Saccharomyces cerevisiae S288C: one gene and its partners. The protein of the gene in region 4 interacts with the protein of the main gene of each other region in a biochemical or structural test. Each region holds a gene or a part of one and is shown on either strand. Other genes may lie near its edges. The genes, in order: MIG1, TUP1, RFX1 and CYC8.

Region 1 (5,062 bases), on a different chromosome or scaffold from region 4:
AGAAACAACTCTTAAAACGCTTCTCTTTTTCGGTCGCGTAAAAGGATAATATTATTAATGGAAAATTTAGCCGCCGAGGACATAATCTTTTGAATCTTCATAAAAAAGCAACTGTAAGCAATGTAAAGTCCAAAACTTTACCATTTTTTGTTTGATCTTGCATGAGAATACCGGGTGAGCCTAACATGAAAAAGATAGCTAGCCACTATTGTAAAAATGTGATAAAGGATACGAGACTCAAATTCACTTGGATAACTATCTAGCAGGTTTTGAGTCAGCCATATTAGGTTACATACCGGTCCAAACCTATATAGAGCCATTGTACGATCCGACTACAAGTTATTTATATGGAAATTAACAGATTGTTTGGAGTCACCGTACGCAGCTCACATAGATAGCTTATTGTGCAAAATATAATTAAATAAAGATGCAAGATGGATGATAACAAGAATTATAAGCAAAGGATTATTGATGTTCCGAATAATTCAATTCACTATATAACAGGTGTTGGGTATATGTATGTGATCTACCTGGTACGTGTAATTTAAAAAATAAAATAATTGGGAAAACTACGGAATTACGTTTGCGCATTGCGTCCGAAGATCAGCACCTCAGATAAAAAATCAACTTTCGCCGTGGTAGACTTCGAGATACTCTGCTAATAGCGATGCTCGATATTACTACCAATGTATGTGAAGGTTTTGATTGTATTCAATCCTTTTTCAGATAATTTACCCTTGCTTTAAGCTGCGTATATCAAGTGCATTTGCTGTCTGCTGATGTCAATTAATTGTATCAATTGGCCAGCTTCGGATAACGAACGATTATCGCGCGAGTGAAATAGACTGGGTCGACCCTTTTGAATTATCACGGCATCGCAATATCTTTGGAGCAGTACAACATTTACTTTTCTTGACCAATCCTAAGAGTTTGTATACATTTTTTGTAAACTGTAGTACGGCGTTAGAGTCAAGAAGTAGCTTATTATATCCTGTGCACAAATTTCAAAGTTTTTGCCGCCATCATATGGCTGAAAGAGGGCAGCAAATTCCATCTCGTTATTTTTGCATATCAACGCAAGCGTTACACAAGATATGGTTAGAAGCAACGAGCAGAAATTCATTACAATGACAGAAATTAATTGCCGTTGCAACATTGTTTTGCCTCTATCGCGTGTGTTTCCTTGAAGGCAGTGTATCACTGAATGTCATCAGTAATGTTACCAAGAATGAACATCCTCCAAATACTCATAGAAACCCGTTTAAAATTCGGGAATTGATGACTTCCTTATGGTAGGCAAGTGTGATTTACAGACTTTCCATGCGATGAACCCCTATTTTAATCGTATGGATCACCAGATCAAGAATTGGCAGTTCTGTCCCATTATTAGAATAGCGAGAAAACGGATGCTTTCATAATTTTTGATTGTTGCTTCATCCTATTTCACCCTATTTAATAGCCTTCTGTAGAAATATCGTGTATGGTTCCTTTATCATTGCTTAGCATAGCTGCCACTAACCTACATTAATCGACTTTTTCCCGGAAAATTAGCGGGTAATCGATTTTTCTAGATGGCATTGTGGAGGAAAGTAAGTGCGTGGGGTGTGTAAGTTGCCGTACAATGCAGTATAACCAGTAGGACTGGAAGGTAGTCAGTACAGTAAGACTAGAAGTTAGCGAGCCAGCACGTTTCCTTCGCGCCGGTTTTTTTTTTTATTTTTTATTTAATTTTTTTCAAAACTTGACGTGTAGAAGATTGACGTCTGGGGTTGGCCCCATGAATTTTTTATCTATTTCTTCCCTGTGCCTAATTCGTAATATCTCCACTGATAGCGTAAAAAAGCGCTTTATTTTTCCGAAAGTTGTGATGGCATTCCATACAGTTTATAGGATGGTAGCAAGTGATAAGAGCTTGGGGCCCACAATTAAGCAGCAGAAAAGCGCAATTGCGACACTAGCAGTGTAACTCGATAGGATTTTATGGAGTGTTGATGAATGTAGTTGCCATTATAATGGCTTCTCAGGAAACCTGTAGCGGCCGGGCCCCGCGAGAAACTCCAGAGTGGCGTAGGCCGGCTTGTTTAGTTGCTAGCATACTTGTTCGAGCTCTTGAGTTCTCCTGGCTTTTCTCCACGTGTCTGCTTGTTGCCTTTGATTTCGCGAGAGACTGCGGACTGCCACCCCACTCCGGGAAAACCTGGAGTGATGGTAAAGGCCCTGCGGCGCTTTCTTTCGGAAAAACTAATACGAAAGAAGCAACAACAAATTTTTACAACAGGCTGGACGAGAAAAGTGGGGAAGAGCAAGCAGAAAAAAGAAAAGAGAATAGTCGTTCTTGGATAATTTATTTATTATAACCCTTTTTTTTCACCCCAGTACTCATTAACGAAGACAAAGGAGAGTAAGAAAGCCCGGTAAAGCATTTCGAAGATAAGAGAGCCATTTATTCTAGCTCGCTTGTAACTACACGAGAGTTGAGTATAGTGGAGACGACATACTACCATAGCCATGCAAAGCCCATATCCAATGACACAAGTGTCTAACGTTGATGATGGGTCACTATTGAAGGAGAGTAAAAGCAAGTCCAAAGTAGCTGCGAAGTCAGAGGCGCCAAGACCACATGCTTGTCCTATCTGTCATAGAGCTTTTCACAGACTGGAACATCAGACGAGACACATGAGAATTCATACAGGTGAGAAGCCTCACGCGTGTGACTTCCCCGGATGTGTGAAAAGGTTCAGTAGAAGCGATGAACTGACGAGACACAGAAGAATTCATACAAACTCCCACCCTCGAGGTAAAAGAGGCAGAAAGAAGAAGGTTGTGGGCTCTCCAATAAATAGTGCTAGTTCTAGTGCTACCAGTATACCAGATTTAAATACGGCAAATTTTTCACCGCCATTACCACAGCAACACCTATCGCCTTTAATTCCTATTGCTATTGCTCCGAAAGAAAATTCAAGTCGATCTTCTACAAGAAAAGGTAGAAAAACCAAATTCGAAATCGGCGAAAGTGGTGGGAATGACCCATATATGGTTTCTTCTCCCAAAACGATGGCTAAGATTCCCGTCTCGGTGAAGCCTCCACCTTCTTTAGCACTGAATAATATGAACTACCAAACTTCATCCGCTTCCACTGCTTTGTCTTCGTTGAGCAATAGCCATAGTGGCAGTAGACTGAAACTGAACGCGTTATCGTCCCTACAAATGATGACGCCCATTGCTAGCAGTGCGCCAAGGACTGTTTTCATAGACGGTCCTGAACAGAAACAACTACAACAACAACAAAATTCTCTTTCACCACGTTATTCCAACACTGTTATATTACCAAGGCCGCGATCTTTAACGGATTTTCAAGGATTGAACAATGCAAATCCAAACAACAATGGAAGTCTCAGAGCACAAACTCAGAGTTCCGTACAGTTGAAGAGACCAAGTTCAGTTTTAAGTTTGAACGACTTGTTGGTTGGCCAAAGAAATACCAACGAATCTGACTCTGATTTTACTACTGGTGGTGAGGATGAAGAAGACGGACTAAAGGACCCGTCTAACTCTAGTATCGATAACCTTGAGCAAGACTATTTGCAAGAGCAATCAAGAAAGAAATCTAAGACTTCCACGCCCACGACAATGCTAAGTAGATCCACTAGTGGTACGAATTTGCACACTTTGGGGTATGTAATGAACCAAAATCACTTGCATTTCTCCTCATCATCTCCTGATTTCCAAAAGGAGTTGAACAACAGATTACTGAACGTTCAACAACAGCAGCAAGAGCAACATACCCTACTGCAATCACAAAATACGTCAAACCAAAGTCAAAATCAAAATCAAAATCAAATGATGGCTTCCAGTAGTTCGTTAAGTACAACCCCGTTATTATTGTCACCAAGGGTGAATATGATTAATACTGCTATATCCACCCAACAAACCCCCATTTCTCAGTCGGATTCACAAGTTCAAGAACTGGAAACATTACCACCCATAAGAAGTTTACCGTTGCCCTTCCCACACATGGACTGATACGCTGACAAGTTTTTGGCGGTGCAGATAAATCAAAAGACAATAGACAAGAATTAATAATATTAACAATTAATAATTAATAAATAATAAATAATAATAATAATAATAATAATAATAATAATAATAGTAATAATAATAATAATTAATAACGATAAAAATATTTAATTATGATAGTAAGAATACATATTTTGATTGTCTTAGTCTTCCGCAGAGATAATTAATTGTTCTCATTTTCAAAGTCATCTATATGTATTGATTGAGCTCTACTGTTGTTTTTAACTTTATTGTGGCCCCCTAAAATATAATTTTTACCAGTATTAACCATTTTGCTCTTATTAGTACTTTTACTGATGGTGGAACCCTTGAAATTTGTCATGGGCGATTCAATCCATAGATTGTTATTGCTGCTTCCACTAGTGTTCTTGTATGGAATTGGTGTCGTAGGTGCCGTAGTCATAGCATCGGTTGCTCTAGTTAAGGTGGTTGGTTGTCTCGTCATATTGGTATTGGTTGTGTTGAATGAATTGTCAAGAGAATAACTCTCATTCATGGAACCAGGTCCTTGTGTGCCGCTGTTATTGTTGCTACCATTACTTTCCTGAGAAATTAGGCTGCTTTTGTTGAACAAAAACCTGTTGGAAGAACATGGAGTAGAGTTTTGAGGCTGCTGCTGCTGCTTACTAACGTTAGTGTTAGTGTTTTTCGACGTGGACGGTATGAAAGATGTGGACGAGTAGACATCGTACTTCGATAACGTAGTAAAGTTTTCAATATTTTTCTGCGCAGCTGATTGTGATGATGTACAATTATCGCTTGTTGATGCTGAAGTTATTGTATTTGGTGGAGTGGATATCACAAATTGAACATCCTCAGGGAATAATTTCAGCAAGTCAGATGTTGTTAGTTTTATTGGCTTAATCTTTGGTTGCTCTTCATAGAAAAGCTCCTTATAAAATGCATTATAAACTTCAGAACCGTCATTCCACAATGTGATGTAATCTTTCAAAGCTTGGAAAGAAAGTTGATTTTTTAAACATAA
Region 2 (5,830 bases), on a different chromosome or scaffold from region 4:
TACATGCATAGATTGCTCCAAGACGTTTGAAGATGGCGTGAGTTACAAGAATCACACGTCTTGCATCAGCGAGGACGAGAAGTACCAGAAAGCGTTGTACAAGGGCAACAAGAAGCAGAAGCAGAAGCAGCAGCAGAAGCAGCAGCAGAAGCAGCACCAGCACCAGCCAGTGGCAACTCCTGCAAAGAAAGTGGAGAAGCCTGTGATCAAGAAGGCAGAGAAAGTGGAAAAGACCTCGAACGGTATCGAGCTTCACAAGGGCAAGTCGTTGTACAAAATTTTGAAAACCATGAAGGATAAAGGGGCAAAAAAGACCTTCTTGAAAAGTCTGGTTGTGGATTCTGAGGGGCAAATCAGGTATGCAAAGGAATAATCGGAATTTTATGTGTAGATATATAGACATTATGTAGCAGCTTACTCGGTTTCATCTTTTTTCTCTCTTTTCTTATTCAGGCTTTTAGCGATTTTGTTATAGAATTGGTTTAGCGACGAGAGGGGGAAACTCAACGTTTCGAAGAGGTATTCCGGTAGTTTCGACTGTAGCGAGTATAGTTCCTCGGTGGATCGCTGTTTAAGAACGGGCGCATATATGACTTCTGTGACTTGGGCCTGGCCCTTGACAAATCCGAGTTTATAGTCCATTATCGAATAATCATCGGAAGATCCCCCTGAGTGGGTGCCCTGCGAGATGTCGAACCACAACCCAGAATCATCCTCGTAGCTTTTATGTACACGTACGTTACAGAGGTACTCGTAAAGGTCCTTTATGACTTCTGAATTTTCTGCCTGTTGGGAAGTCTGAGTCTTCAGCTCCTTGACTTGTGCGTTTAGCGAGTCTATCTGCTTCTGCAGCTGTTTGATCTCGGTTGCTTTTGTATCCAGCTTCTCCGACAGTACGAAATTCTCATTTACCAAATTTGCCACTAGTAAGTCTGCGGAATCGATCTGTTGTTTCACTGAGTTTTTGTATACAGTCAATGGATCCATTTTGCGCACGTTGGATTGTCTTGTTTCGCTTTCTTTTTTTTATTGTTCCTGTTTATCTATCTAATGACCTTCTTGTCTGTCTGCTTCTTCACTGTTTTGATTTCAATGTGACCTTTTTCCAATCATTTTTCAATGTAAACAAATACAAGATATTGAAGCATAAACAAAATAAAATGAAATAATACGGGAAGAGCGCAGAGGGTGAACAGAATAAGGCGAGCCATAATGAGGCCGCCCTTCTTCACTCTTGACGCCAGTTGAGTGAGGGACTGAATACTATATACAGTAAATAATTCGTAAAATTGATATTTAGTTTTACCAAGCATTGCCAGGCCGCAAATCAGACCGTTATCCGTTGTAACTTCTTCAGCTATAAAACAATGCGCTGACGTTTTTGATAGCATAACAGATGTTTCATTGTAAACATCATTATTTGTACATAAAAAGACATAAACATATGTATATAAGAACAACATAAACAAATAAATAAACCAGGAAAGCCCTAATTTACCCTTCTTTTTGGCTGAGCAATCTAGGAGTTAATAATTTTTTGGAACTTTCACCCTAACATTTTTAGAGACAGAACCCTCTTACATTATCGCTACCGACGGACCTTAATTTTTCGTACTTTTCAAAAAACACTGAAAAACTGCGAAAAAATTAAAAAGCTCTCCCGTCAAAGCAACAAACAACAAAACAAAATAACAAGTACATAAGTAAACAAATAGAGAGAAATTCCCCCATCTACCCCCAATTGATAAACATCAGCGAAGCAAGAACAACTGGCTGAACACGTGCCCCTCTATCTGTCCTTCTGCAATTGTTTAATTTTCTTTCACGCCAAGTTACCTTTCGCACACCACTACTCTTTTTCTATTGTTTTTTTGTCTTTTTTGATAAGCAGGGGAAGAAAGAAATCAGCTTTCCATCCAAACCAATATGACTGCCAGCGTTTCGAATACGCAGAATAAGCTGAATGAGCTTCTCGATGCCATCAGACAGGAGTTTCTCCAAGTCTCACAAGAGGCAAATACCTACCGTCTTCAAAACCAAAAGGATTACGATTTCAAAATGAACCAGCAGCTGGCTGAGATGCAGCAGATAAGAAACACCGTCTACGAACTGGAACTAACTCACAGGAAAATGAAGGACGCGTACGAAGAAGAGATCAAGCACTTGAAACTAGGGCTGGAGCAAAGAGACCATCAAATTGCATCTTTGACCGTCCAGCAACAGCGGCAACAGCAACAGCAGCAACAGGTCCAGCAGCATTTACAACAGCAACAGCAGCAGCTAGCCGCTGCATCTGCATCTGTTCCAGTTGCGCAACAACCACCGGCTACTACTTCGGCCACCGCCACTCCAGCAGCAAACACAACTACTGGTTCGCCATCGGCCTTCCCAGTACAAGCTAGCCGTCCTAATCTGGTTGGCTCACAGTTGCCTACCACCACTTTGCCTGTGGTGTCCTCAAACGCCCAACAACAACTACCACAACAGCAACTGCAACAGCAGCAACTTCAACAACAGCAACCACCTCCCCAGGTTTCCGTGGCACCATTGAGTAACACAGCCATCAACGGATCTCCTACTTCTAAAGAGACCACTACTTTACCCTCTGTCAAGGCACCTGAATCTACGTTGAAAGAAACTGAACCGGAAAATAATAATACCTCGAAGATAAATGACACCGGATCCGCCACCACGGCCACCACTACCACCGCAACTGAAACTGAAATCAAACCTAAGGAGGAAGACGCCACCCCGGCTAGTTTGCACCAGGATCACTACTTAGTCCCTTATAATCAAAGAGCAAACCACTCTAAACCTATCCCACCTTTCCTTTTGGATCTAGATTCCCAGTCTGTTCCCGATGCTCTGAAGAAGCAAACAAATGATTATTATATTTTATACAACCCGGCACTACCAAGAGAAATTGACGTTGAGTTACACAAATCTTTGGATCATACTTCAGTTGTTTGTTGCGTGAAGTTCAGTAACGATGGTGAATACTTAGCCACAGGCTGCAACAAAACTACTCAAGTGTATCGCGTTTCAGATGGTTCTCTGGTGGCCCGTCTATCTGACGATTCTGCTGCCAATAACCATCGAAATTCGATCACTGAAAATAACACCACCACGTCCACGGATAACAATACAATGACAACCACTACTACCACCACAATTACTACCACAGCGATGACTTCGGCAGCAGAATTGGCAAAAGATGTGGAAAACCTGAACACTTCGTCTTCCCCATCATCCGACTTGTATATCCGTTCAGTGTGTTTTTCTCCAGATGGGAAATTTTTGGCAACAGGTGCTGAAGACAGACTGATTAGAATTTGGGATATTGAAAATAGAAAGATTGTTATGATTCTTCAAGGCCACGAACAAGATATTTATTCATTGGACTACTTTCCCTCAGGTGACAAATTAGTCTCCGGTTCTGGTGACCGTACCGTTCGTATTTGGGACTTACGTACAGGCCAGTGTTCATTGACTTTATCCATTGAAGATGGTGTTACCACCGTCGCTGTATCACCAGGTGATGGTAAATACATCGCTGCTGGTTCTCTAGATCGTGCTGTGAGAGTTTGGGATTCCGAGACCGGATTCTTGGTGGAAAGACTAGATTCGGAAAACGAATCCGGTACAGGCCACAAGGACTCTGTTTATAGCGTTGTCTTCACTAGAGATGGACAAAGCGTTGTATCCGGCTCATTAGATAGATCTGTTAAGCTCTGGAATTTGCAGAATGCAAACAACAAGAGCGATTCGAAAACTCCAAATTCCGGCACTTGTGAAGTTACGTATATCGGGCATAAAGACTTTGTATTGTCCGTGGCCACCACACAAAATGATGAGTACATCTTGTCCGGTTCCAAAGATCGTGGTGTCCTGTTTTGGGATAAGAAATCCGGCAATCCGTTATTGATGTTGCAAGGTCATAGGAATTCAGTTATATCTGTGGCTGTGGCAAACGGGTCTCCGCTGGGTCCAGAATATAACGTTTTTGCTACTGGTAGCGGTGATTGTAAAGCAAGGATTTGGAAGTATAAAAAAATAGCGCCAAATTAAGAACAGAACACAAAAGGAACACTTTACAAATGTAACTAACTAAACTATTCTTCAATTCATTGTCATTATATCTTTCTCTCTATTCTTTTTTATCTACTTATTTGTTATGTTATGATCCAGGTACGCTTTAAAACAAACAGTTACTTTCCTCACCATTCATCCCTTCCCCTCCTTTTCCTGTGTTTCTGAATATTGCGGTTCATTATTCTTTGATATGAATTTATTTGTGTATTGTATAAGCTTACTTTCCTTTTATATGTATATGTATATATATATATATATATACTATCTTTTTTCTTATATTTAAAACTAAAAAAAAAAAAACTACATGTGCTCATGAATATAAAATTTATAGATCTTTGATTCCCTTCTCTAAAGCAGTAGGGTTAGCTCCAATGATCTTGCCGATGAGTTGGCCATCCTTGCCAAGAACAAAGGTGGGCATAGCCGTCACTTCACACTCTTTGGCAATATCTGGTGATTCGTCCACGTCGCACTTGACAAATCTTACATCTGGATAAGCCTGAATTAATTTCGTTAAGTGTGGTTGCATCATCTTACAGGGGCCACACCAAGTAGCATAAAAATCGATGACTAGTTTATCATTTTGCTTGATCAAATTCCTAAATTCTGTTAGGTTCGTCAATTTAGTAATACTGGTGTATGAGGACTGGAATCTTATGCTTTTTAGCGGTCTCACCGCCATCCTCATCACAGGCTTATAGAACAACATAACAGCTTTGGTTTCTCTATGTACTAACCAATCCTGCTTTCTTTGGTTAGGGGGCTAGCTCATTTTATATCTCATCGGGGCAATTTTTTCCATCACAGAATACTAGGCAACAAAATCTGCAGAAGCACAATCCACATTTGGAATTAAAAGATAGTGAAAAATGTACATGAACCCCAACCAGTAACTTAAACATAATATTTTGGGTCACTATATCTAGGGCGTTGTTCTTCTTTGTGATTTATGCAATATACGCATATATGTATATATATATAAATATATGTTTAAAAATGTCCATAGCCGCTATTTGATCATAATAAGCCATCTTCATACAAAGCCAACAATTGATCGTTCTCTGCTATATAAGCGTTGATATCTAGGGCAAACTTGTCCCAGTCTATCTGGGGAATGTCGTCGTTGCTAATCCATTTTTGCTTTTGAAATCCGTTCTCTACAGTGAAAATTTCTCGCAGTAAATCCCTATTCTCCGCCAATACATCAACAAATTCCTGGTAATTCTTGGTATTTTGAATTTTGTGGAAAAGAGAACACAGATTCTTGACAAAAGATTCTCTTTCGTTAATAAGCGTCTCTAGCTGTGTTCTTCGTTGTTGCAGTACGATGTAATCGAGATCTTGATGCAGGTCAGTTTTTTGAAACTTGGCCACAGCATCGTGCGTTCCCTTTGGGGTGATCATTCCAGTTTAAATAGACTGGTACACGCTAGTACTGATCTTGTAAGCGGATGAGCACTTTGTCTTAATCCTCCTTAACCATCGCTCATAAACCCCAGTTTTATAATCGGTGGCAAACATGTCATTTGGTACGGTATCATTTAGAGGAATCAATTGGTTGGGTATTAAAACTGACACATAATTACTGTTATTGGTAAATTTATAATTTATCCATTTGGATATATTCTGAGATCAATGTGGATTTTTCCTCTCAAACCGAGCATCAAAAAGACTCAGGTTTACACAGGAATCGTTAAACGCAGTCGTATCATTACTGCCTGTAGCCATGTCATCTGTG
Region 3 (6,132 bases), on a different chromosome or scaffold from region 4:
TGTCAATGCAGTATGTTATGGTGCAAAGTTGATGATCCCTGGTTTATTGCGTTACGAAGAAGGTATTGAGTTATATGACGAAATTGTCTTGATAACTACCAAGGGTGAAGCCATTGCCGTTGCCATCGCACAAATGTCAACCGTTGACTTAGCTTCCTGTGATCATGGTGTTGTTGCTAGTGTGAAGAGATGTATCATGGAAAGAGATTTATACCCAAGAAGATGGGGTTTGGGTCCAGTCGCACAAAAGAAGAAGCAAATGAAGGCAGACGGCAAATTGGATAAATACGGCCGTGTTAACGAAAACACCCCAGAACAATGGAAAAAAGAATATGTTCCATTAGACAATGCTGAACAGTCAACTTCTAGCTCTCAGGAAACTAAGGAAACTGAAGAAGAGCCTAAGAAAGCTAAAGAAGATTCTTTAATCAAAGAAGTCGAAACTGAGAAGGAAGAAGTGAAAGAGGATGACAGCAAAAAGGAAAAGAAAGAGAAGAAGGACAAGAAGGAAAAGAAGGAAAAGAAAGAAAAGAAGGACAAGAAGGAAAAGAAAGAGAAAAAGGAGAAGAAAAGAAAGTCTGAAGACGGTGATTCTGAGGAAAAGAAATCTAAGAAATCTAAGAAATGATTCTCATCACTCCATCTCATCCTATATATTTAACAGCTTTCTTTTTTTCAAAAAACTTTTTCTATTATTAGATTAGATTTTTTTTAGTGTGTATATTAATAACGTAAAATTTCTTTATCAACGACTTGTAGTATTCTTTTACTTTTATTTTTTTTACATATGCAACGTTATATTCTTTTTTAAATATCCCCATATACTAATGATAGAACTTTTAAACTTTTAGGCCATTGACGAATTTCATGACTTCAAAACAGTAGTTCAGCAATTGGCCCATGACATTATTTAGAAACAACCATGATAGCAAATTCTCATTTGATTTTAAGCTAATATCGCCGATTATTGCATTCCTGAATCTTGTGCTGCAATCAATTAATTTCAAGCACGAAAATTTGCTTTGTAGGGAAATAAAGGAACAAAAATCTTTAATCATTTCATTTAAGGACTTGCATTCGATAGACACAGAGGGATCATTGCTAACGCTCATAGAGGAATTTAAGAACTTTGTTACGAAAACTTGACAGAACCCTTGTAAATGTTGCATTATTGTGTTTGTCTCTGAATTTGTATCGTCTTCATTAATCATCATTTCCAAAATATCGTCTAAATTTACAATATTCTTCCAGTCATTATTCATGCCACTTTTAAATATAGGAAAACTTTTCAAGAAGTTTAGAATGAATTTTAATAACTTTATTAGTTTTTTCACTAGTTTGGTAAAATTATTAATAATTGATAACTTCCTTTGCACTAGCGCTTTTGGTAATTCTAAAACAGCCTTATTAATTTGTTCGGGCAATAGCTTGATCATACTTTCCAGTTTTTGAATGATTGAGTCACTGATCTCATTAGAATGAATTATAAATTGTGAAAAAAATTTGATTAACCCTGTATAGGTGATTAAGTCACATTTAGTTACCCAATCAATCAATGGCTCAGAAATGAATAGATTAAACATCGTGGGCGATATAGAGTTAGAGTTAGAGAAGAATAATGCATTTGATATATTATCACTCTTCAGAAACTTGATGCATTCATAAACGGAGTTGCAATGGATATGATATAATGACTCCAAGGATGATATAACATCCGAATCAGTGTCTGTGGGGAGTACACCTGCGGGAATTTTTGGGAAGTCTAACTTATATGATGTCAAAAGCGGATGTTCTGTGTTCGATAATATTTGGGTATTATAGTTATCTGATAGCTTGTCATTACAATTGAAAACTTTTTCAATTAAATCATGAGTGAAAGTTAATTCATCTGAAGACAGTGTTCCGGTAGGGTTATTTGCCGCTGGTGGCAGCGAATCTAGTTTATTTGCTTCTGTTTCGTTTGGATGCTGTGATTCGAGTTCTGGTTCGTTAGGGTTGTCATTACTACTCTGTTTAACGGGCGACCCAGTTCGAGAAAGACTTTTTCTATTTAATGAGAACGGCGATGAAACGTTAGGTACCTGCGGCGAAGGTGAAGAGGGCGATGGAGACGATAGGGGCGATATGGGATCGTTATTGTGTACTAAGGATAACGAAGCATTGTTGTTATTAAGGGACACGGAGCCGCTTTCGTTGACAGTTAGTTTCAATCCGCAGTAGTGGTATTTGGATTGACCTCTCATACCCAGCCTTCTAGTCGTTAAATCAGGAAAAACTGTTCTTATCAACTTCCCTAATGACGCCTGTGATAAGGGCTTCAGGTTGTTTTGGGAACAAGATGAAGCGTATTGAGCAAATATTTTGCCTCTTGGTACGTAACTATCGTGCTGAGATTTACAATTTTTCATTAACCAAAGTAACGCAAACACTTGTCTTTCTCTTTCTCTGTTTTGTTCCGCCAGCTGCAAAGCTGCCTTTGAAGTGTTCTGTGAGTCCATGCTCAGGACTTTGATTTCTGCATGCTTCACGATCTGCGCATACTCCTCGATGGTTTTAGATTTGTTATTTTCTGCAATTTGCTTAGCAATTATTTCTTGCGTGTTTCTCCTTGAAATGGAAGAGATTCGTTTCTCTTGGCTTGTTTTCTGTTTTTTCGTACTGCTTGGAATTGAGGGGAAGGTATTGGTACGTTTGGCAGCAGTAGGAGGATTATTGTTTAAGGTTTCCTCTGACTTGAAAGAAAGTGGGTAAGCAGATGAATTCGATCTATTCAGGCTGATAGACGCTGGATACACTGAGTATGTGGCAGGTTGCCGTTGTGTTGCGGGTTGTGCAGGAGGCTGTGTAGGGGTAGGAGATGGTTTATGGGAGCCGGGACCACTACCGATAAGTGGCGGTAATATTGGATTTGGCGTCTCCGGGCGGGGGGAACTTTGGTGTAGCAGGCTGTATATTGACGATGATTTGCTCGCTATGGGCGGGATATTCACTGACATGGGGGGCAAATAAGTGTGTGATGCTGGCGGTGGTTGGCTGCTGTACTTGGGTGCGTTTAAACTGTACCGATTACTGTTTACCGAAGATCCGTTACTTGGACCGTTGCTATTGTCGTTCGAGCCCCGACTAGTAGGTTCAATGTTATTATCACCGGACATGGGCAAATAAAATTCAAAATAATGAACAGACAAAAAACTAGGCGAGAAGATGAAGTACTTGGCAGGTATTTTTCTAGTGAAAAGGTTTTCTGTTGGTTTGCGTTCTTTGAAGATTACCATTTACTGCTATTTTTTTTTTCAACTTTTTCCCAAATCGCCATGACAACACGAAACGACAGGAGAAAAATTACGAAATCAAAAACAGGTTCAACTGTTGCAGCAATAGACACCACAAACGTGCGCAAGAAACCGCAACGAAGGGGAGGTGACCGTGCTTGAAATAAAATCCGAAGATCCATAGGTGAGCCACGAGTTTGATTCCAAACTCGTGGTTTTACCAACGAAGCTGTATATCGTGGAGTGGCGCTACCATTGGACCTTCGTTTCTTCTTTCCCTCTTCCGCACCGTACCAGATAGGAAAAACCGCACCTTCGTTTTTGCATACCTAGATGGTCCTGTAACAAGAATAGAGCTAAAGAAACAAGTATGCGTCGACTGCTGCCACGCCCGGCTGATTTAGGTGCACATCAGCTACCCAGCATACAAAGGGGCTTCCGTACGGTTGATGGTTATTTTTCTTGGTGTGTTGGTGCTGCTGTATCGCTGGTGCTGTCTGCGTTATTACGACTATCGTAGGACAAGGCCTCGAGAGGTGTAGGGTAAATCCCACTTGCACAAAGTATGTACACACTTGATTATCCAAATACCAAGAGAGTGTGGTTCAATTTACGGGCAGCTCGAGCTGCCCGTAAATTGAACCTTCCCCTTCCCCACGCTCAAGGGGTTCCTGCGCCGGTGTTTCAGGGGCAGGACACGCGGGGATCGCTGGCACAGTATATAAACAATAAAAGAACAATGGAGAGAGGAGGCGCCATTCAATATCAGCTCACTAGAGTGCATAGACGTATAGACACAGGAATAAAGATAGAAATAGGGTACCATGGAGCTGCCTTCAATAAATAGCACCACAAGTATATCCGACAACCAGGAGTTAAGGAATTACTATGACAAGTTGCTGTTCAAGAACAATAGTGGCAAGTCGCTAGCGGATTTGCCAGGAAAAATGGCAGATTTTAACGACAACAGCGCTGCTGCGCATCCCCGCTCCAGAGTTGACTTTATCAACGGTTACATCGGTTTCAGAGAGGATAAGCAGTCTCTTCTGGGGCAGAAGAACACTAAAAGGGCCTCGTTCAGCGCATTTGCGGACGAAGGAAGGAAACAGAGCGAGATGAGCATTAACGGGAAGAGCCCTAATTTGTCTCTTTTCTCATTTGAGTTTAACGGCACCCCGACTCAGGACAGAAAGCCATACAAACAGGATTACTTGAATGTGATGAACACTTCGCCTAACAATATTCTTTCTCCCTTAAACAACAGCTCCCAAAAATACTATCCACAGAAACAGCAGCAGCAGCAGCAGCAGCAGCAGCAGCAACAGCAACAAAGCATCTTTGACCCGGGAAGAAGATCTTCCTATATTTCTGATGCGCTGATTCATGGCAATGCGGCTACCCAGCAACCACAATACTCGCAACCTGTATATATTAACAACAACCCATCTTTGCAAGTACCATACACTGCTCCTTCCGAGTATACTCAGCAGCAACAGTACTCGTCACCCTTCAATGCTAGGCGCAACACCCAGCCAGTGCTGAACTTGCATCCGGCAGCCGCTCCCACAAACGATGCCGGATTGGCGGTTGTCGACGGCAAGAATTTGACGTCATCCAAGGAGCTGCATGACTTATATCTTGACTGCGGGTCAAACTATTTTGCTAGTGATAAAGTTTATAAATTTATTGACAGCATAAAGGGAACTTTACGCGGGGATAATGTCTCCGCCTCCAGTTCCAGGATTATAGAGTTTTTGGATTTTTTGAAAAATTGTAATCTGAATTACAACCCACAGTCTGACGCATTCATCTCCACTGCTGTTTCAAACGCTTCGTCGACCGGGGCGGCCAAATCCAAGAACAGCACTTCAATGCATTTGCACTATAAGCCATTAGTGTTAGTATCGTTGAAAAATGGTAAGCTCGAACTGTTGTCTAAACCACAAACGGCCACACTTATACTGAAAAGGGGCGATTTGGTCATTATTGATGGTGATCGTGGTAAAGATTTAGTTTTGGTGGTGGAACCGGTTGTAGATATAAATTTGGCACTATTTATAAATTTTTTGAAGAAAAAAATTCACTTTGATTCTCTAATCACCAATAGTCAACAGCATTTCCCCAATGACCAGTTTATCAAGACTCTGGTTGATACAACCAATGGTAAGCCGGTCGCTCATGAGTTGAATCCGAAGTTATATGATATCATTGAACTAACGCAATTGATCATCCCATCAAAGCAGGTTCTGAGATTTGCCACCCCGTGGGAATCCTCCACGAATTTACACAACAAATTCCAGGATGAGCTAAAGGCTCTTCACATTGCACAGCTAAAACTGAGGTCGCTAAATAACAATAACTCCGGTGGCGGGTTGAACATCAAAATATTGAATGCAGAGTTCCAATTCGACAGAAAGAAATTGACTTTCTACTACATTTGCCAGGAGCGTAATGATTTCAGAGACCTGATCAAAGAACTCTTTAAGTTTTACAAAACAAGAATTTGGCTTTGTGCTATACCGAACAATTTATCGATAGATTCCAAATTTTATGATTCAAACAAGTTTGAGTGGGAGATGTATCAGGATATGATGTCCCACTATTCCATGGACAACACTGGAATTGTCGTGGCCCCTGAACTGAATCGCTTGAAACTGGACGACTTCCAGATCGGTGTTTATATGGAATTGGTGAAGGTTTTGTTCGGCTAACCCAAACTTATATAATCATTATAAACATTTTATAAACTTATACACTTTTTTAATAATCTCACCATGTTTTTCTTATGTGTTTTGTTTGACAATGACATTACTCCCTACAAACATGTGCGCGTTTGTGACAAAAACATAAATAAAACAAA
Region 4 (6,562 bases):
ACATAAATGAATCTACGAACTTTACCCAAATTTTATCCACCGTAGAACCCAAAGCATTAGGTATGTGAATATTTTATCACTAAATTTATTGAAAAGAGAACGTTACTAACAGTGGAATTTTTTTTTCTAGAAATGGTATCGGATTCAACAAGGGAAACCGTTTTAAAGCAAATAAGGGAATTTCTTGAAGAGATTGTAGATACACAATGAAGGATACGAAAATGCACCTTAATTCCCAATATTATTACATATGCTCATCGGGAAAACCTTTTAAGCAATAATAGATTTTAAGTATGTAATGATACAAATAATAATATATTTATATACGCATATATTTACATGTGCATATATGAAAAATAACCTAATTCACGTTACCCACCTTTTTTTTTAGCCTTTTCTTTATTTATATATGTATCCACAACATAATGAATGAATTGTGAGCTACACAACATTTCTCGTTGATTATAAATTAGTAGATTAATTTTTTGAATGCAAACTTTTTAGTCGTCGTAGTTTTCATCTTCTTCCACTTGCCTTACTACATTTTCTCTTGGAAGTGTGTTCTCCTGTGGGGATTTTTCTTGAGATGTTTGCTCTTCCTCACGCATTTTGGCCTCCTCTTTCACTGTTTCCATTGTTTCCAAAGTAGGTTTGATTACAGTTATCGTTGTAGCAGCGGTTTCATCTTGTTGTTTTTCAGCATCTCTGGAAGCTGCTGGCTCCGCCTCTTCAGTAGAAGGTGCAGATGCTTCAGTTGTGCCGTTTTCCTCTTTAGAATGCTGTCTTACTTCGTCTTCTACAGGGCTTGCTTCTGCAGGAACAGTAGCAGTAGAAAGTTCTATGGTCTCAGCAGTGCTTTGGTCATTTGCTTTTGTTGTTGAACTTTCTGATGATACAGTTGGTTGGACACTAGATGACTCTGGTTCCGTATTAAGCGGTTTTGTAGAAGGAGAAACAGAAGCTGCTTTGGTAGCTTCTTCAGCAGGACTAGCTTCCTGTGGAGGTTCCTGTGCGCCAATTACTGAAGGTATTGAGTTTGCTTTTACAGGTTTTTCTTCTTGTGAAGTATTATTGGTATTAGACTCCACTACTGCTGGCGATTGGTTGCTCACCTCAGATTTTGCATTTTCTTCAATGGAAGTAGCAGTATTTACTAATTTGTTGATGTTTGAATTTGGAGAGTTCAACTTTTGCTTCTTTACCTGTGGTTCAGCGTTCGTTATTCCTGTTGCGGGAGCTTGCGTTGGAATGGCATGGGTTGGTTGACGAGGAGACTTTGTGTTATTCTCTGTGTGGGTGCTACTGGATACGGCGGCATCTACTAAAGTGTGGATTGCACCTTCCATGTATCTCTTTTGAGGTAAAACGTTCTGTTCCACGTTATGCTGGATTAAAGGTTGGGGAGCTTGGGCTTGAGGCTGGCCTTGAAGTTGTTGTGGATGTTGAACAGATTGTAGTTGTTGCTGTTGAGGTGGCAGTTGAGAGCTTTGCGGATGTTCCATAGCTTGTGTAGAAAATGGTTGCAGTTGGTGAGCTTGTATGACTGTTGGCTGTGTGATATATGGTTGCCCTTGTTGAGGATTTAACATTTGCACAGAAACTCCCTTTTGCTGCAGCTGTTGTCTTGGTAGGGGCTGTAATTGCTGCTGCTGTTGTTGTTGTTGTTGTTGTTGTTGTTGTTGTTGTTGTTGTTGTTGTTGTTGTTGTTGTTGCTGTTGTTGTTGTTGTTGTTGTGCCTGCGCCTGTGCTTGTGCTTGTGCCTGTGCTTGTGCTTGTGCTTGCGCTTGTGCATGTGCTTGTGCTTGTGCTTGTGCCTGTGCTTGCGCCTGTGCTTGTGCTTGTGCTTGCGCTTGTGCTTGTGCTTGTGCTTGAGCTTGTGCTTGTGCTTGAGCTTGTGCTTGAGCTTGAGCTTGAGCTTGAGCTTGTAATTGAGGGGAAGCTCCATTACTGTACATTGTTGCAGAAGAGTTAATAGGCGTTTGTTGAGCAGGATGCTGTTGTTGTACCATTGAAGCAGTAGCATTGGCAGATTGGGCTGAAATTCTAGTGTTCAAAGGATTTCCTTGATCATTAGGTTGTAAGGTAGGTTGTAAAATCACAGGAGGTGGGGCAGGAGAGGCATTCGTTGGCGCACCGTTCGATTTGTTTATATTGCCTGGGTTTTCTAACTGCTTTGTTAAAGCTTCTAATCTTTCTCTTATGTGAACATTATTTACGTCCAGTCTTGCAGCTTGCTTATACGCATCAAGGGCGTCAGATAATTGGTTGTTACAAGTTTCGTAAAGAGTACCTAGATCGTACCAAACTTCACTAATATAAGGATTTAATCTTATGGCTCTTGTGTACGCGTCTAAGGCGTCTCTGTATTGAGAAATTTGGTAATATAAAACACCGATTGAGCACCAAAAGATAGGGTTTCTTGAATCTCTATTAACAGCTTGTTGGAAAGCATCATATGCGGCAGTATAATCTGTTCTAATCATATGCACTCTACCGAGATGGTACCATGTAGTGGCATCGGAGGGATCTGCTTCTAACGACTTTAGAAGATAATCCAATGCCTTTTGAGGGTCATAAAATTGTACGTTACTCATACCGTAAAGACAACCTAATTGTTGTAATACTTTGGCATGATGTTGATTTTGAGCCAAGACATGCTCGTAGGCTTCCTTCGCACCTTGCCACTCTCCCATACTCTCCAAAACACTACCCAACTGAAACCATATGTCCCACTCCTGCAAGGGAGCAGGAGGTTGAGGGAGAATGTATCTGAAGCATTCCAAAGCTTGAGACCATTTACCCTGATGTTTATAAATAATACCTAGTCTGAAGTAAATTTCGTTTGCCTTTTCAAAATGAGGGTCCAATTCCAAAACTTTGGCAAAAGCTTCTTCGGCATAGTCGAGCGAACCATATCTGTCATAAAGAATGCCGATTCCATGCCATAATTTCGGTACGTTGGGATTACTGAGGTGGTAGAGAGCCTGTTGATAGGCATTGTAAGCTCTTTGCAGATCATCCAGCATCAGATAACAATGACCTAAAGTAGCCCACACATCTGATAGTTCGGGATTTACCAAAAGTGCTCTTTCATATAATTCTGCAGCTCTTTGGAACATGTCTCTGGAACGGTACAAGTGAGCCAAAGATGTTAAAGCCTTTGCAGATGAGGGATTGAACTGTAAAGTGGCGTCATATGCCATTGCGGCCCTGTCGCCATCACCAAGGGTTTCTGCCAAAGAAGCAATGGAGAGCCAAGTTTCCGCAGTTGATTGTGTTAATGGGTCGAGTGGCTGCTGAGGAACTGCTGCCTGCTGTTGCTGTTGCTGCTGTTGTTGTTGCTGTTGTTGTTGCTGTTGAGCGGGTTGTTCCATTATTGTTTGTTCACCGCCCGGATTCATTTTTCCTAATTTTTTTTTTCCAGTCGTGTTTTGTTTGTTGTTGTTGCTGTTGTAGTTGTAGTACTAGTCTAAAGGCTTATAGCAGTGAAAAAGAAAAACAGAAATATGGGAAAAGAGGTAACGGGAATACGCCTCTGGTTCAAAGACTAGTGACGTTGTCGTATTTGGCTTTGTTGATTCTAGTTCTCTCAATTGAACTCCTGACGTGGTTTGTAAAAAAACAGAGAACAGGAAACAAAAAACAAAAAGACAAAGAAAAAAATGCGCTTTTGCTTTGATAATCGGAAGGGAAAAGAACGACCGACCGAAGAAAAGAAAAATAAAATAAATTTAAACAAACCTTGTTCGAGTTGGATAGGGGAAAAACGCCAAAAAAAGATGGAGTACAGTACGCGGGAGACCAGTGGCTAGCGACGGGAGTAGCAACGATCGAGAAAGGAGTAGCGCAGAGAAAAGAAAGAAAATAGAGAGATAAAATAATTAGAGCCGATACGGCACCCGTGCGATACGAGACAGGACGGAACAGTCCGGTACGTGTGGTAAGTTTTACGAAACGAGAGGACACGGCATGACATGGCCCACGTTATAAGGCAATTTCCATTTTAGCATTGGCAAACGCACAAGCACAAAAAAGATGTGGAACAACCACTAAGAACGGAGTGTGCACGAAAAAAATAAGCTTTTCTCGTGCCCTGAGTGGTGCACAAAAGAAGAAAAGGGAAAAAAAAAGCGAACGAGGAGTGACGTGGACGCGATGAAGGTGACTCAGCCAATCCGGGTGAGCCGCACCCTTCGTCCTCAGTGACCTCTCACGTGCCCTGTATCAGCCAGCCACTGACAGTTTTGTTTTTGCCGCCCAGCTCAAAACTCAGATCGGATGTGCTTTAGTTTTTATCTTCGTTATGTGGATGTTTCATTAGCTTAAAGCATAGGATACCGAGAAACCGTAACGGTTTCATGTTGACCGGTTTTTGAGTTTATGGTTTTAAAGTTCGTCAGTTGTTCCGACGCTTAGATTTTAAGGAGCTTGTCAAAATGCCTAAACCACAATCCTTACAGCACTCAAAATCAACAAAAAGTGAGAAGGTTTGAAAGTAGTACATCCCCTCTTCCCTTTGATTTTTAGCCGCCAAAACTACCAACCCACACAGCACAAAATGTGTTACTCCTCGAAAAAATCTGTTACCCTTTTCCCGCCATGGTTGCCAGGGAAACAGTGGGGACTTCTGCGTTGCTTCTATTTTTCCCCCCTCCTTCCTCCTGCGCCTCCGTTTCTTTTTCTTCCCTTTTCATTTCCCTTTTCTTTTTTTTTTCAAGTTTCGGATTAACGCTATAAAAAAAATGCACAGATAGGACCTTAAGGACTAATAAAACCGACAGTATAACGACGTAATGCTGCGTGGTGTTTTCAAACCTTAGTAGTTTTGGTAATTTTAGATACTCTTGGCCGTATAACTGGTGTACCAACTGAAAAATCATGCAAGAAGGGGGCTTTATCCGTAGAAGGCGTACGAGAAGTACGAAAAAAAGTGTTAATTATAATGAACTAAGCGATGACGATACAGCTGTGAAAAACTCAAAAACTCTGCAGCTGAAAGGGAACAGCGAAAACGTAAATGACAGCCAAGATGAAGAATACCGTGATGATGCTACGCTCGTGAAATCACCCGACGACGATGACAAAGATTTTATCATAGACCTAACAGGTTCAGATAAAGAGCGGACCGCCACCGATGAGAATACTCATGCGATCAAGAATGATAATGACGAGATAATAGAAATCAAGGAGGAACGTGATGTTTCGGATGACGACGAACCGTTAACAAAGAAAAGGAAGACAACTGCTAGGAAGAAGAAGAAAAAAACGAGCACCAAGAAAAAGTCACCGAAGGTAACCCCATATGAAAGAAACACTTTGCGATTATATGAGCATCATCCTGAACTAAGGAATGTTTTCACGGATTTGAAAAATGCACCTCCCTATGTCCCCCAAAGATCCAAGCAGCCGGATGGTATGACCATCAAACTGCTACCTTTCCAGTTAGAAGGTCTTCATTGGCTAATATCTCAAGAGGAGAGCATTTATGCGGGCGGTGTTTTGGCAGACGAAATGGGTATGGGTAAGACCATCCAAACTATTGCCCTATTAATGAACGATTTGACTAAGTCTCCGTCTTTAGTTGTTGCCCCTACCGTGGCGCTGATGCAGTGGAAAAACGAAATAGAACAACATACAAAGGGACAACTGAAAATATACATTTATCACGGTGCTTCCAGAACCACGGATATCAAAGATTTGCAAGGCTACGATGTTGTACTAACCACTTACGCAGTGCTGGAATCGGTATTCAGAAAGCAAAACTACGGGTTTAGAAGGAAAAATGGACTTTTCAAGCAGCCTTCCGTATTGCATAATATTGACTTTTATAGAGTTATTCTGGATGAGGCACACAATATCAAGGATAGACAAAGCAATACTGCTAGGGCTGTAAACAACTTAAAAACGCAAAAGCGATGGTGCCTGTCGGGTACTCCGCTGCAAAATAGAATTGGTGAGATGTATTCTTTGATCAGATTCTTAAATATCAATCCTTTCACAAAGTACTTTTGTACCAAGTGTGATTGCGCTTCGAAGGACTGGAAATTTACGGATCGCATGCATTGTGACCATTGTAGTCACGTCATTATGCAACACACGAATTTCTTCAACCATTTCATGTTGAAGAACATTCAGAAATTTGGTGTGGAAGGTCCTGGTTTAGAGTCTTTTAATAACATTCAGACATTATTGAAAAACATCATGCTGCGAAGAACTAAAGTGGAAAGAGCGGATGACTTGGGTCTACCGCCCAGAATTGTTACCGTGAGGAGAGACTTCTTCAATGAAGAGGAAAAAGATCTTTACAGAAGTTTATACACAGATTCTAAAAGGAAGTATAATTCCTTTGTTGAGGAGGGTGTTGTTCTAAACAATTATGCAAACATTTTCACCCTAATCACAAGAATGAGGCAACTGGCAGATCATCCTGATTTAGTTTTGAAAAGATTAAACAATTTTCCTGGCGATGATATCGGCGTCGTGATCTGCCAATTATGTAACGATGAAGCTGAGGAGCCCATTGAATCTAAATGTCACCATAAGTTCTGTCGTTTATGCATCA

What was found.
Region 1: the proteins of CYC8 (region 4) and MIG1 form a complex in vitro, tested with the Saccharomyces cerevisiae proteins (2 studies listed by BioGRID).
Region 2: the proteins of CYC8 (region 4) and TUP1 form a complex in vitro, tested with the Saccharomyces cerevisiae proteins (6 studies listed by BioGRID).
Region 3: the proteins of CYC8 (region 4) and RFX1 form a complex in vitro, tested with the Saccharomyces cerevisiae proteins (2 studies listed by BioGRID).

The regions. Positions count from the first base shown.
Region 1 is NC_001139.9:430,509-435,570, reverse strand, and holds MIG1 (transcription factor MIG1), read left to right. Parts: upstream 1-2,508; coding exon 2,509-4,023; downstream 4,024-5,062. Other genes in the region: YGL034C (uncharacterized protein), read left to right, coding at 1,992-2,357; VIR1 (Vir1p), read right to left, coding at 4,241-5,062. UniProt on the Saccharomyces cerevisiae protein: Involved in glucose repression of the SUC, GAL and MAL genes as well as of the CAT8 gene. Binds to two sites in the upstream region of SUC2.
Region 2 is NC_001135.5:258,549-264,378, reverse strand, and holds TUP1 (chromatin-silencing transcriptional regulator TUP1), read left to right. Parts: upstream 1-1,926; coding exon 1,927-4,068; downstream 4,069-5,830. Other genes in the region: YCR087C-A (uncharacterized protein), read left to right, coding at 1-373; CSM1 (Csm1p), read right to left, coding at 415-987; YCR085W (uncharacterized protein), read right to left, coding at 1,110-1,463; TRX3 (Trx3p), read right to left, coding at 4,418-4,801; AHC2 (Ahc2p), read right to left, coding at 5,110-5,496; SRB8 (Srb8p), read right to left, coding at 5,725-5,830. UniProt on the Saccharomyces cerevisiae protein: Acts as a component of the CYC8-TUP1 corepressor complex which is involved in the repression of many genes in a wide variety of physiological processes including heme-regulated and catabolite repressed genes.
Region 3 is NC_001144.5:506,958-513,089, forward strand, and holds RFX1 (Rfx1p), read right to left. Parts: upstream 3,276-6,132; coding exon 840-3,275; downstream 1-839. Other genes in the region: pseudouridine synthase CBF5, read left to right, coding at 1-628; YLR177W (uncharacterized protein), read left to right, coding at 4,097-5,983.
Region 4 is NC_001134.8:462,370-468,931, forward strand, and holds CYC8 (transcription regulator CYC8), read right to left. Parts: upstream 3,402-6,562; coding exon 501-3,401; downstream 1-500. Other genes in the region: SUS1 (Sus1p), read left to right, coding at 1-60, 131-210; DNA repair protein RAD16, read left to right, coding at 4,879-6,562. UniProt on the Saccharomyces cerevisiae protein: Acts as a component of the CYC8-TUP1 corepressor complex which is involved in the repression of many genes in a wide variety of physiological processes including heme-regulated and catabolite repressed genes.